Linked DNA regions of Mus musculus. The protein of the gene in region 1 interacts with the protein of each later gene in a pairwise test. Links are inferred from orthologs where the notes say so. Each region holds a gene or a part of one and is shown on either strand. Other genes may lie near its edges.

Region 1 (4,430 bases):
CTTGGGTGGTACAAAGAACTCCAAGCGACTTCCTCCTCCTCCTTCTCCTTCACTCCGGAGCAGTAAGCGACACTTTTGCCACTGAGGCTGCCCTCCTCCTCCTGAGGTCAGCCCAGCTGCCCCTCCTCCACGACCCACTCCTGCTGGGTCAGGGGCAGCCTCTTCAGCCCCCATGAAACTCAGCAGCTCTTCTCTCTGTATCATTCCTGCTCCGTCTTTCAGGGTTCCCCCTCCACGACTTAGCCTCAGCCTCTCAAATCGATGAGTCCATCTCTCCCCAGGGGATGTGCCATCATTAGCCAATGCCCTACCAACTGTCCCAGCACCACCCGAGGAGTTGGAGTTGCTGTTTCCACCTAGAACTGGAGGGCCGGATGTGGTCTCCAGAGGCCCAGCTTGGGAGGGCGAGTCAACGGCACCCCGCCACTGCAGGATGCCTCGAACAGAGCCTCTGACTGAACGGCCCACTGAGCGGAGGGAGAAGCGCTTCTTGAGCTTTGGCTTTGAGGATGTTGTAGAGGAAGGGACTGAGGAAGGAAGGGGGCCAGCCAGGTCCTCAGAAGATCGAGAAGGGCCCAACACTGCTAGGGGCCCACCCACCCTGCAGCTCTCAAGGGACAGGTCGTGTGATGGTGGGATTTCCACACCAGGGCTCAATGGAGCCAGGACAGGTGGGGAGAGTGAGCCCGAGGCCCGAGCCACCTCGGCTTCGAAGTGCTGCAGGAAGAGCTCAGCAAAACGGCCAGAAAAAGCGGCCTCTGCTCCCGGCTCTGCATACTGTGGGTGGGAGGCCAGGTAGAGGCGAAAACGTCGGGCAAGATCCAGGGCAGCTGCCCTCGCATGGGACTCACAGAACTCTTGCCAACTTGGGGGAGGGGGTGGTGGCAGCGCTGGCGGAGAAGGGAAGACCCCATCCTCTGGGGAAGGGGCACCATTCATGATGGGCCCCAGGAGGAGGACAAGGGAAGCCTGCGGGGAACAAATAGGGAAGCAGCCAGAAGACACGGGATGTGCGGCAACAGCTGTAGAAAGAAGAGGCACATACACTGAGTTACTGTAGAAGTGAGATTGAGTTATATCTCAGCCCAGGCCAGGGACTCCCCTCCAGGCTCCTCAGAGAGCAACAGGCGAAGAGAACTAAACTGTTTTGCCCTCTTCAAGATCAATAACCCTCATATACCCCAGGGATGAAGGATGCTAAGCCCAATCCTGCTGCCTTTGTCACCCCTCTCCCTGTTGTGGGACCCAGGAAAGGGCCTTGGAGCATCTTACCCCACAGGGGACTCTTAAGATCACTGCCATCCCTTCTCTAAGACAAAACCTTCCCTAACTATCACACATTTTAAGTGTGCCATTCCAGAGGGCTCTACAAGGTCATTTTACCTTTCCTTAGACAACTTACTAACCTCTTACAGATGAGGAAACGGAGATTCAAACAGAGATTCAAACAAGTTCCAGAACTCAGAGTCTACCGCATTTCCCACTGCACAGTTCTAGTCTCCAGGGATATGCTGGACCAGCCTCGACCACAGCTCCCACTGCTCTGTTCTCAGGGGACCAAAGGGTGCAGGGATTACACCCTTTAAAGACCTTGCATCATAGGTCCAATGAGTGGAAGTTGGACTGAAGGCTCAGTTGTCTTCGAAGCTGATCCTATAACCCAGCACTTAAGCCCTGTGGGAAGACTTGGATTGGCTGAAGGCCAATCTCTGGGTTGCCCCTACAGTCTAGGGCTGAGTGATAGCAGCGCTAGAGAAAAAGAGATGGTGTGTTGGGTCAGGACAAGTCTTTACTAGCCACAGAAGTAAGGCATCGCACGGAGCCGGGGCTCAGGAATTTTCACTCCCTGGGGAGTGTACCTGTGAGTTTTGGACTCAAGCCCCAGCTCAGTCCACCTGTTAGCTGTGTGAACCTAGCTTTTGTCTCTGTAAAACACAGTTACTAACCGCTACCTGCTACAGTTGTCAGGAGAAATGAAATGACAAGGAACATGTCTATGCTTTCCACAGTAAGCACACAAGACATCACTGCCACTGTAACTATTTTTTATGGGGGAGGACAGTATGATGGGTCCCATTTGCGCTCCAGAAAGGAAGCGCTTCTGCGGGTGCCCCAACTCTTACATCACAGCTAGAAAGTGACAGAGCTCCATATGTAATTTACAACCGGTGGCTCTTTGGTGAGTGGTCCTGCCCTATGATCGACTGAAAGGAGACACCTCTGGACGGCTCAGGAAAGTCTACCCAAACTATCAGTGATGCCAGCCTCTTCATCAAGCCTACAACCAAGCTGCAAGTCAGAGACCCCCCCCCCCTCCCCTTCCTCCTTGGCCTTTCCTACATACTCCGATGGCTCCAACCACAGGGACAACTCCAAACCAGGGAGAAGCAGCCAGGAGATGCGGGAGTCACAGAGCACAGGGGAATCGGGGCCAAGAGGCGCAGGCACGGCAGAGACAGTCCCCAGCCAGAGGCTACCTCGGCTCACACAGGCCCACCCAGCCCTCAGCACTACTGGCCGACCCAGCCCCCTTCAGGCCCGCTGACCCTGCGGTTCCTGGACTGGTGACTCAGTTTCTCTTCTGCCAAGACGGCTCAGTCACAGTTTTCCGGTGCACCTGCCTCTTGGCTTAGTTCTGACATTCCAGAAGGGCGGGTGGTGGAGGGTGCAGGCTGCGCTCCAGGTTCGGACCCTCCGGGCCCCGTGGTTAATCACTCGGACCCGATCCTAGTCGTTGGACACCCTCCACAAGCCCCTGGGCCGGAGCCTCCGAGGGACCAACTATCTGCTGCCCTCTCGGGAGCCGAGCACCCCTCCAGCCCCGAGCCCCCACGCCCACCCCCGCCCAGGCTTCTCAGACGACAGGGTCGAGTCCGGAGAGGAAAGAGGCACTTGAAGAGGGGGGTTCCGGTTCCGGTCCCACCTGCATCTCGGTCCCCGCGCTTAGCTCCGGCGGCGGCAGCGGCGGCGGCGGCGACGGCCGCAGCTCCCGCTCCCTGTGCCCCCCGCCTCCGCGACGGGCTCCCAGCACGCGCTTCTGCGCAGGCGCTGGGACGGGTTCCCCGACGCGGAAGGAAGCGACCATAGAGAAGAGCAGTAAGAAGGAGGGCACCTTCGTATTCACTTCCGCCATCGTTCTCGGCGCCGAGGTTTTCAGGAGCTACGCCAACACAGGTCTCACTAAGCTCCCGTGGCTTCGGCAGTTGTACCTAAAAGGAACCACTGAGGCAGCTGTGGGAAGGCGTTGGGTCCGTCATCCGAAGCAAATTCTAGACAAAGGCGAGAAGTTAACCATAGAGAAGCCACTTGAGCGGAGAGAGTAGCCGCCCACTAAAAGAAATCAGCGAGATGATAAAGCTCTTTGAAGAGCTGGCTGCAGCCTAGAGCGCCTGGCCCTGCATCGAGGGGTACACGGACACCGCCCCCAGGGATCTGGCGAGCGATGTAGCGGTGACCTTGGGAGGCCGAGTGGAGTGGGCGGAGCCTGAACTTAACGACCTTGGTCTTTTAGGGGAAAGGGACAAGGTGGTCCTGGAGGGCTCTACCTTAGACGGGAACTAAAGTTGGGACAGCAATAGTGAGGTCAGTTTTGGACATGCTTGCGGGTCATCAGTAGGTACATAGAGATAGAGCTTGAAGTTCAAGAGAGGCTTCAGGGCAAGTTAGAGGGATGACGAAGTAAGGTACAAAGTGCTGTTGAGACCTTGCGCACAAATACCTTCTAGCAACCCAAGCTCGCATTGATCCAGCGTCACTACAGCTGAAGTAATTGAAAAGGCCAGAGTAGATTGGGATCATTGACAGGGCCCAAAAGATTATGTCTATAGCTTGTCATCTGTGATTGTACTCTACTCGTGCGGTCGGTCGCTTTCACCCACAGAGGGGCTCTAGTCTTCTTGGTGTGGCAAGATGGTTTTCCATAGATTCAAATTTAAATCCTAATAGTTAAGCAACTCAGTGTAAGGAGTATCACTCTTTCTAAGATCATCAATAAAATTTTCAGAATTAGGCTAGTGAGATGCCTTTTCAGTAAAAGTGCTTGTGTTTTCTATGCAAACCTGATTAGCCAGAATTCCCTCCCCATAACCCACTGTGGAAAGAGAAAGGATGTTGGAAAGTTGGCTTCTGACTTAGAACATGGCACACACACCACACATGTGTGATACCCCCCCCCCATCACATACACATAAACAAAGTGGTAATAAAATGTAAATAAGTCACACTGCTGGAAAGAGAGCTAAGTGATTAAAAGACTAGCAGCTCTTGCAGAGGCCCCGCAACCACATGGTGGTTCAGAACTGACTATAACTCCAGCTCCAGGGGATCTGATGCCTTATGACCTCAACAGGGACACGTACATACACGCAGGCAGGCAAAACGCACATATAAGATAAAATAATATTAATTTTGGAAAATTTAAGCCAGGCAGT
Region 2 (4,758 bases), on another chromosome or scaffold:
GGCAGGGTCACCCGTAGCTCAGGCTGGCCTCAAAATCACTAACTTGGCCCAGGATGACCTTGAACTCCTGATAGACCTGCCTATACCTTCAGAGTGCTTGCTGACAGGCATACAACGCCACACATGGTTTATGTAAGTCTAGGGATGAAACCCAGGGATTTTGTGTGTGCACAGGGAGGGCTACACTCTGGCCACACACCCAGTATATTTACTGCACAAACCCCAATGTCTTGGCTTTCTGTGTGCCATTAGGGAACAATGTTTATATGCACCTACTATGTGTCCAGCACTGCTCAGGTTCTAACATCGGTGAGGAACAAACACCAGGCCCTATCCTTGTGAACACTGCATGTATATTTAAAAGCCCCCAGAAGCTCTGTCTCCTGGGCTCAGGAAGTCCAGACATGGACAAACAATCAATTACCAAAAAATGTAAAAGCAGAGCTCAAGGTACAACACTATGCGCCCAAGTGCACAGGTGCATATACAACATAACCCTACTTCCTTAAGGCCTCAGAGAGCAATGTAGATGTTAACAATCTTGGATTTTTCTAATAAGAACCCAAACCATGGACTGGCTCCGTTTTTACTTACTGAGATGGATGGCTCAGTAAGTCAAAGCACTTGCTGCCCGAGCATGAAAACCTGAGTTCAGATCTCTCCACACCCACCTAAAAGCCAGCACTTCAGCATACATCTATCTATAACTCTAGTGATAAAAAGAGGTGAAGGGAGAGGGGGAACTGGCACTCACAGGCTAGGCAGTGCGGCCAAATCAGCAAACTCAAGGTTCATTGAGAGACCCTGACTCAAAACACAAGGCTGAAAGTGACAGAGACAAACACTGGATGTCAACCTAGGTCCTCTACAAACACACAGGCACAGGAGTGCACACGCGAACACACATGCACACGCACGAACACGTGCACTCGGGCACAAACCAAACCAATGGCCATTCCTCATTGAGTACCTTCTGTATATCGGATCCTGGGGGCCTCAGAGACATTACCAGTTTAGCAGACCCACTCCACAAGATCAACCCAACCTGTTCCATAATCCTGCACCCTCCTCCCAACACACACATCTCCCTCATTCACAAAAGCGTGGCAGTTCCTTCTCTCCTTGACCCCTTCCCTATTGTAATTAATTTCCATTTTCAGAGAAAGCTGAACCAGTAACTCAAAAGACATTTGTCATTGCATGTTTTTTGAAACAGTGTCTAACTAGCCTCAAAACTCACTCAATAGCTGGGCTTGCTTCAAACAACTCGCTATCCTCCTGCCTTGGCCATAACCAAGCACAGAACTATAAGACCAGCCTCTGAACAAATGGGCTAACTGAACCTCATTTTAGCCCTCTCTGAAATGGGTATGTAACTATGTTGGCCTCCAGGGAACACTGGGAGGTTCTAGCGCTAACCAGCCTGGAGACTCATAATCATTCTAATTATAACCATCCTGAAAACTACCCCTACTGTTACTATGATTGCTGTGGGGCCAAAGGTATGCAGACTTTGCCTCTAGACATCTGGAAGTAGAGAATTATAAACATAGCAGCCACAAGGGGTCGATTCTCCAACAAGTGTCCTCCGTCGAAGAGGATACCCCTGGCTTTGGGTTTAAACTGCTCAGATGTCTGAATCTGTTGCAACCCAGTAACCATACTTACTTAAAGCAACCTCAAAGAGCCTCAGAGGACAGATTTGGGGTTAGAGAAAAGAACAGACACAGTTGAGAGGTGCACTGGGGACAGACACCCGAAGCCTGGGCGGGCACTGGGGCAAGGTTCCTCAGACCCGAGATGGACACACGCGGGGTACAGAGCCACAAGCCCAGTGAGCAAAGGCCAAGGTCAGCCGGGGTTTCACGCAGGGCCAGGGCCACCAAACCCACTCTTCCCCTTCCCCAGTGTAAAGATGATCACTATAGGGAGGGGACTCTTCATAGACACAAGGACGCTACGGGAGTCTTCAACCTTCAGTCCGTGGAGAGGGGGCTCTAGGTTGATGGAAGAAGAACGAGAAATGTCCACAACTCTCGTGAAAGGACTATATTGCTGGAGTGGTGAAATGGGTGTCTGTAACCCTGACTCCTTGGTGGGGCCTGGGGGGCTCTAAGTTGTATGGAGCAATGGGAAGGGTTGTCCCCATTACTCAGCCCAAAGGGAGAATTCTCTAGGTTGGCTGTGGCGGTGGAGAGGGGTGTCCCCGACCCTCACTCCTTAGGGTGAGGGTTCTAGATTGGCTGGGGCGGTGGGAGAAGTGTCCCCGACATACTGTGATCGCCTCTTGTCCCAGACTTACCCTCTCCAGGGTACAGGTGGCCGGCTGTGCCCACCAGCAACGCGGCCACGGCCACCAGCAATGGCACAGCCGTCGTCTCACATCCTCTCCCGAAGCCCATAGCAGTAGGAGTGCTGGGACCCCGGCGATCAGAGCACGCCACGCCGGCCTACTGGGGACATACTCCGTGAGAAGGTCTCTGGAGAGGCGCTCGGGGCCGCACGTCCTTCTCTTCCACGCCCGTGGCTCACAGGCCGCAGCTCTCCAGCCTAGAGGGCCCTGGGGACAGTCCCGGGAAGAGCACAGAGGCCTCGGCCGCAAGCAACACCGTGGCGCGGCCCGCAGGTCACCCAGGCCCGGTCCCGTGCCCGCAATCCCAGAGTCCAGAGCTCACCGCGGTGCGTCTCCTGTCCGGGTCTCCTGCTTCTGCCCTCCGTGCAGCTCTGGGTGGGTCGCGTTGTGTGGAGTCTGAGACAGAGGGACGCGCGCACTGGAGGGCACCTGGGCTGGTGGTGGCGGCGGGAGCTAGGGCTCGACTCCAGCCCGTAAACAACGCAGCCCGTCAGCTGGGCCCGCGCGGGCCAAGGGAAAAGGTGGCGCGGATTAAGACAGGGAAGGGACTGTGCGCTCCAGTGAGGCCCGCTGGGGGGGGAGGGGGAGAAAGCCAGCAGAGCTCGGGGAGGCGTGGCCAGAGCTGGCAACGCCACGCCTCCTCGCCTCCTCGCCTCCTCGGCCCCTTTGCCCCCTTGCCCCGTAAAACCCGCAACTTCAGAGACCCGAGGCTCACTTCAGATTCTTCCAATCCCAACACCCCGAACTGCTGGCTTAGAAAGATTACGATTTAAAAGCTTGTAAGCGTTCTCAGATACCAGTGTAACATAAACACCCAAACAACTCTAAGACTCACCTGTCAAACGTCCGGAGCTGCCCATATCCGCACCTGACACGAACGCCCCCAAAGAGTCCCAAAGTTCCGATTTTAAAACCTAGGGGTCCCCAGATCCCCGCCTGACTCGAAAACCACTAAACAGGCCTGAGGTTCCAGTTTAAAAGCCTAGGGACGCCCCCAGGTCCCCTCCTGACTGCAGCAAACACAAGTAACACCGAGGTTCCAATTTAAAGGTCTGGAGCACACTCTAGATCTCCGCCAGATCTAGACACCCCAAATTACCCCGAAATAACAATTTTAAAGTCTGGAAATGCCGCCAGATACCCCAGGACATAAACACCCCAATATGCCCCTAGATGCCAGATTCAACCAAGCACATTTTGTCTTTCTTTACTCCTTTTTACTATTTTTTTGACTCCCGTGGGGAATTCACTTTAATTCTTTACCTTTGATTCTGTTTTTCTTTACAGCCTATGCTACCAATGTCTTACGAGATTCTCCCAACCCTGGCTCTCTCGAGGAGCTAGTAGGCGCCCAACAAGTTCCCTCCCCAGTGAGCTCCCGCCCAGCAGCTTGGAGGCACCAGCTTCCAGGCCACAGCCACGTGTCCACAATGCAGGCAGCCTGTATTCCCTGGCCTGCGCCCCCTCCACCCAGCACTGAATTCCAGCAGAAATCAATAAGGAAATGACTCTAGAAGAACATAACAAGGCTTCTAGAAACACGTTAGAAACTTCATATAGGATCAGAGCAGACATAACTCCATTTTCAACACACATACCAGTAGGTGGCTGTATGTCTAAGAAAGCCATTCACTAGCAGCCCTGCTCAACCACATCATGAGGCGCTAACCCTGTCGGTGCCTTAGGAATATGTGCAGTACAGAGTCCTCTATCCTTTGCTTCACATGTTCACTCAGACCCGGACTGTGGCTGCTGGTCTGTGCAATGGGTTTGACAATATCTGTAAAAAAAAAGGTAAAAATAAAAGTAAAGTGGCAAGCAATAGAGAAAGACACTTAAGGTCAACCTTTGGCCTAGCACACCACACCACACACACACATAAACACACACATACAAACATATACATAAACAGAAAGAGAGAGAGAGAGAGAGAGAGAGAGAGAGAGAGAGGAGAGAGAGAGCGCTAAAACAAAGAGCCAAGCATTGGGAAGCAGGTCTTTAATGTCTTTACTCACAAGGTAGAGGCAGGGGGATCAGGATTGGAGCTTAGCCTGGAACACATGAGGTCCTGACTTTAAAAATAAATAAAATAAACAGAAAACAAAATAAGAGTGGACCTGACAATATGGCTCAGCAGGTAAAGGCACTTGTTGCTAACCCTGAAGATCTGAGTTCAATCTTGAGCTCCCACAGAAAAGGTGCCTGTACACACACGCAATAAATAAATAAATAAATAAATAAATAAATAAATGCTTTTTCAAAAATATTTTTAAGTAGTAGCCTAGGGCTGTGGCTCTTTGGTAGAGCACTTGCCCAGCACACATGAGGTCCTGGGTTCAATCCTTAGCACCGGGCCCATGGTCCTTGCATTATGCAAATGTGCTCCTGCTTAAAAGCCTTTCCCC
Region 3 (4,664 bases), on another chromosome or scaffold:
CAATGATAGGAAATTATGCTGAGACTAGCCTCCACAAAGGACAAGACTCCTGGAGGTACTTGCTCCACTCAAATGCTAAGGACGTCCCAATTGTCATGCTACTGTGTGCTCCTAAACGTACTTGCTCTGTGGCTACCATCTGGGTTCGTTGACACCAACCACATAGACACATACACACAATACACTCTGCTCTCTCTGCCCCCTCAAAATCTCTGGTTCTTCCCCACAGCAACCCCTACTCTCTCCTCTTCAGCACTTTGCCAAACCAAGCAAGAAGCATAGAGCCATTGGGCGCTCCCCGAGCCCCTCCTTAATCGTGAGGGACCCAGGAAGGGAGAGAGGATCCTGGAGTGAATGGACTCTGAGTGTGGAGGTGAAGAGAGACGGAGATACAGTGTGAGACAGTGAAGGCTGGAGGAGGTGGGTGGCAGAGCAAGGGCAGATAAACAAAGAGTGAAAACCCCAGAAGAGACTGACAGTAAGAAGACAGTGGGCTGGGCGGGGAGGAAAGAGACACAGATAAGGAGATGGAGACCCTGAGACAGAGATAAGGGGTGAGAACCAGGGAGGCAAAAGACAGACAGACAGAGAGCAAGCAGCCCTTGGGGTGGAGTGGCTGTGGGCGCAGTCCTATCTTGTAGTTCTGGCATCTTGGAGTTCCTGTGAACACACTCCCCTGTAATGACATGTCCTCTGTGGGGGCATGTCCATGGCCTCCTCTTTTCCCCATCCCTGCGTGTGCTAGGGGCTCTTGACTCACTAACAGTTCTCAGAACTCTTCCCCCTCAAAACCTTTGGTTCTTCCCCACAGCAACCCCTACTCTCTCCTCTCCAGCACTTTGCCAAACCAAGCAAGAAGCATAGAGCCATTGGGCGCTCCCCGAGCCCCTCCTTAATCGTGAGGGACCCAGGAAGGGAGAGAGGATCCTGGAGTGGATGGACTCACAGATAAGGAGATGGAGACCCCAAGACAGAGATAAGGGCTGAGAACCAGGGAGGCAAAAGACAGACAGACAGACAGACAGACTTGTTTGGGAACTTTCCCTTGGCTTAAAAAAAAAAAAAAAGGAGTAAGGGAACCAGTCAGTCCAAGGGACCCTGTGCTTCCCTGATCCCAGCCTTGTTCCCCATAGGATGGCTATGTGTCTGTCCTCCCCCTGGAGTTCTAAGGAATTGTTGCTAGCCACGTTGAGGGAGTCCAGATCCCTGTTCTGCCCCCAAGGGTTTCAAGCTATAGAGACCCAGGGAGTTGCTAAGAAGATCTATGTAGCCGGGTATGTGTGAGCTGTCAGGCAGTGTGTGTGCTTCATGCCGCCTCATTTGTTCAGATTCATAATCAATCTGTCTATTTGAGTCCATTAGCTCCCTGTTAGCTATGCGGGTGAGGGAGGAGGGAGAGGATTGTGCAGGAGGAGTTGGGAGGATCAGGCCCCACCCAGGGGGGTGAACATTTCAGCTCACCACCCTGCCAGCCTCTTCCTCAATAATCTAGGCTTGCCCACTACCCCTGTCCCTGGGCTGGACTCCCTTGGAGTCTTGAAAGGCTCTGAAGAACGAGAACATTGATGGAAACAATCAGGAGGCTGGACTCTGGTTTGAATGGACAGGCCGGGGAGTAACCATCTAGACTTCAAACCCCATCCCATCCTGCAGGAGCCTAGACCCAGACCAAGACAAGGCCATCTCCTCTCTTCTTGGTCTCCCTAGGGCCATTAGAAAGAGATTGAGTACCTCCGTTAATTACCACAAGATGCCCGAGTAACTCGGTGCCAATCACTGCAGGCTGCTAGCTCCACCAGCGTGCAGAATACTCAAGTATTTTCCAGCCATCACTGTGTGATGCGGAGTTCCTTCAGGTCAATTATACTCTCAAAGGTCTCACTAGCTGCTACAAAGTACTTGAGTATTTTGTAACCGATTATTGCACATTGTCTAAGTACTGCAGAGCTGAAGGTTCCTCCCAGCTCTGGACCTGGAAAATGGGAAAATCACTCAGCAACAGCCCTGACTCCCTGATACAAGAAGGGAGACAAAGGTGAAAGGAGAGATGGGTGAGCAGAGAGAGAAGCAAAGGGGTTTCGTTCCCTGCTTCCCGCATCCAAATCAAGGAGACTTGTGGTCAGTGGAAAGGAAAAAAGAGCTCAGACACCAAGCTGGTTCCTCACCATCTCCCACCAACTCCAGCTCAATCACAAATCCAGAGAAGAGCTGGATTCCCTGCATGACAAGGAAGAGGTTGGGGGCTGGCTTCCCCCTAAGTAAAAGAAGATAGCAAAGGTGCCACACTGCCAAATTCTGCACAGCTAACCACTCCTCCATGGGCTTAGGAACTTGGGCTCTTGATTGAACCCCACAAAAAGGTTCTTATCCTAGATCGCTGGACCAATGCCTAATCCACCTAGTTTCGGTCTTGCTCTACCCCAAACCAGCACCACAGTTAGCTACCCTTAATCCTGAGCGACATCCAGACAGTGACTGCGCGGCTCTGCCAGGGTGGTGGCAGCGGGAGAAGCCGCCGCAGCACAGCCAAAGGCTACACGTGCCAGTCTCCTACAGCAGCCAAGCCTGACCCCTCAAGCCAGAGGTGAATGAGTGCGCGCCCTCGGGGAAGGGCTGTGCCCTCCTGACCCCGCACCCCTCCCCCGAACGACACACACTCACAGCTCCGTCAGGTTCCCGGCGCCCCGCAGGCCGCGGAGGGTATCCAGGGACCCTGCCCTGGTGCAGCGCAGCCCCGAGGGGCCCACGGGACAGCAGACCTCGCGACAGGATGCGGCGGAGGCACAGGCCAGCATCAACGAAGTCATCAGACTGCCTAGCCCCGCGGCCGGGCGATGCCAGCCCAGCTGCCCGAGCCGCTGGCCTCGCAGCATCGCGGCGGCGCCCGCCTTGCTCGGGCCGCGCAGCCGTCCGTGCGCTCCTAGCTGCCGCCGCCCGGCCTCGCGCGACACGTGCGCGGGGCGGTGTTAAAGACTAGCCACCAGGAGAGGGCGGCACCCACGGCCCCGCCCCGCCCCGCCTGCCAATGCCCCCAGTGCCCCCTCCCCTTTTGAGGCCCTAATGCCAGCTCGCCTTCCTAATGTCCCTCGCGGCTGCAGGAGACCTGGGGCGGGGGGCTGCCATAGATTGCCTCACAAGTGTCTTCTGAGGCTGGGGGAGCTAGGAAGCTGATACCTTATTTCTCACAGTAAAACAGCTGCATTTTCAGATTTGCGGGGAAGTGGAGAAATTGAGCAAGGGAAGGGTTGAAGTCCAGGTCATCCCAGCCAGCCTCACGGTGCACTTTACTTAAGAGGGTGTGCATGTCACTTGGAATAAGTTAGGTGAACGCTCTCCAGACCCTAGTAAGGAAAGGGAGAGGGCCTCAGCATGGCTGGATGCAGAACCTGGGGAGAAAAATAGTGGGAGAGAAGAGTCCTTAGAACACAATTGGAGGAAGATTGGAAAGTGGAGACCTCTCGGTCCTCAAAAGACCACAGGGTGGCGCTAGAAGCCCTCGCGCCCGGCGTTTGCGCTCGGCCTGGGGCTTCGAGGGCGGAGAAGAGCAGTTCTGAGCCTTTCTAAGCTGTGCCTCTGGTCTTAGGGTCAGTTCCCAATCCTAACCATCCATCTGGGGCCCCAGAGCCGAGCCATGGCCAGGCAGACCAAGCTTGGCATCGATCGCCGTCCTGACAAGAGCATCGATTTCTGTGCGGAGAAATTAATAGATCTCTTAGTTCTTCGGACGTGGGAGCTGGGAACCATCGGCTCACGGTATTTGTGAACCTGGGAAGTCTCAGGCCCAGCATCCAGGCCACTAAATGGCAAGTCTTGCGCAATGGCCTTCTTGACTGCACGTATAAGTGTCGCGTTTAAGAGATCATCCCATCATGAATTGTCCTCCAAGTGGCCCCGAATAAGTACATATATAGAGACCCACTAAGCATCCTGAGTTCTTAAAAGTAACCAAATGGAGCCAGGCAGTGGTGGCACACGCCTTTAATCCCAGCACATGGGAGGCAGAGGCAGGCAGATTTCTGAGTTCGAGGCCAGCCTGGTCTACTTCCAGGACAGCCAGGGCTACACAAAGGAACCCTGTCTCGAAAAACCAAAAAAAAAAAAAGTAACCAAATGAAGGAGGAATCTCACAGAGAGAAGAACGACTCGTCTCCTAGGGATTTGAGCCAAAACCAAGGGATTTGACGGGGACATACCCCGCGCCAAGGAAGTATGTTCAAAGTAGCCTCGGGAGGCTGGGAAGGGCTGTGAGAGGCGAAGTGGTGAGGTCGAAGTGGTGAGGTCTTCAGGTTTCACCAGTGGAGTCCGACCTGTCCAGGCTGCGGGAAGTTACCCCGCAGATGTCAAAACACCTGTTGGACTCCAGAACTCCCCTGCAAATCAAGCCAGGGAGCCCAGCCGCTCCCTCCAGATCTGCAGCGAGCGGGTTGGGGGGGTGGGGATGGGGGAGAGAGGGAAACTGAGACAGAGAGAGGGGTTCCAGAGCTCAGTTCTTGGCCCCCAACCTTATTTCCCCAACACATCTGTCCCCCACCTCCCTCAGTTGACAGGCTAAATATTTTCCCTTGACTTGGTGGGAGGGGCGGAGAGAACAGAGAAGTCGGCGGGCGGCGGCGTAAACCAATCCGTTTCTGGAAAGGGCGGGAGCTGGGCGAGGTCCCTGCCTT

What was found.
Region 2: the proteins of Sh2b1 (region 1) and Insr interact in binary tests that used the Homo sapiens proteins (3 or more experiments, as listed by UniProt). The link is inferred for Mus musculus from reciprocal best matches to the Homo sapiens genes SH2B1 and INSR.
Region 3: the proteins of Sh2b1 (region 1) and Ntrk1 interact in a two-hybrid assay, tested with the Homo sapiens proteins (2 studies listed by BioGRID). The link is inferred for Mus musculus from reciprocal best matches to the Homo sapiens genes SH2B1 and NTRK1.

What each region holds. Positions count from the first base shown.
Region 1 is NC_000073.6:126,472,073-126,476,502, forward strand, and holds the start of Sh2b1 (SH2B adapter protein 1), read right to left. Parts: upstream 3,059-4,430; 5' UTR 2,924-3,058; exon of another isoform or gene 1,407-2,923; intron 1,023-1,406; 5' UTR 940-1,022; coding exon 1-939. UniProt on the Homo sapiens protein: Adapter protein for several members of the tyrosine kinase receptor family.
Region 2 is NC_000074.6:3,276,727-3,281,484, forward strand, and holds the start of Insr (insulin receptor isoform A preproprotein), read right to left. Parts: upstream 2,892-4,758; 5' UTR 2,403-2,891; coding exon 2,303-2,402; intron 1-2,302. UniProt on the Homo sapiens protein: Receptor tyrosine kinase which mediates the pleiotropic actions of insulin.
Region 3 is NC_000069.6:87,792,272-87,796,935, forward strand, and holds the start of Ntrk1 (high affinity nerve growth factor receptor precursor), read right to left. Parts: upstream 2,892-4,664; 5' UTR 2,874-2,891; coding exon 2,662-2,873; intron 1-2,661. UniProt on the Homo sapiens protein: Receptor tyrosine kinase involved in the development and the maturation of the central and peripheral nervous systems through regulation of proliferation, differentiation and survival of sympathetic and nervous neurons.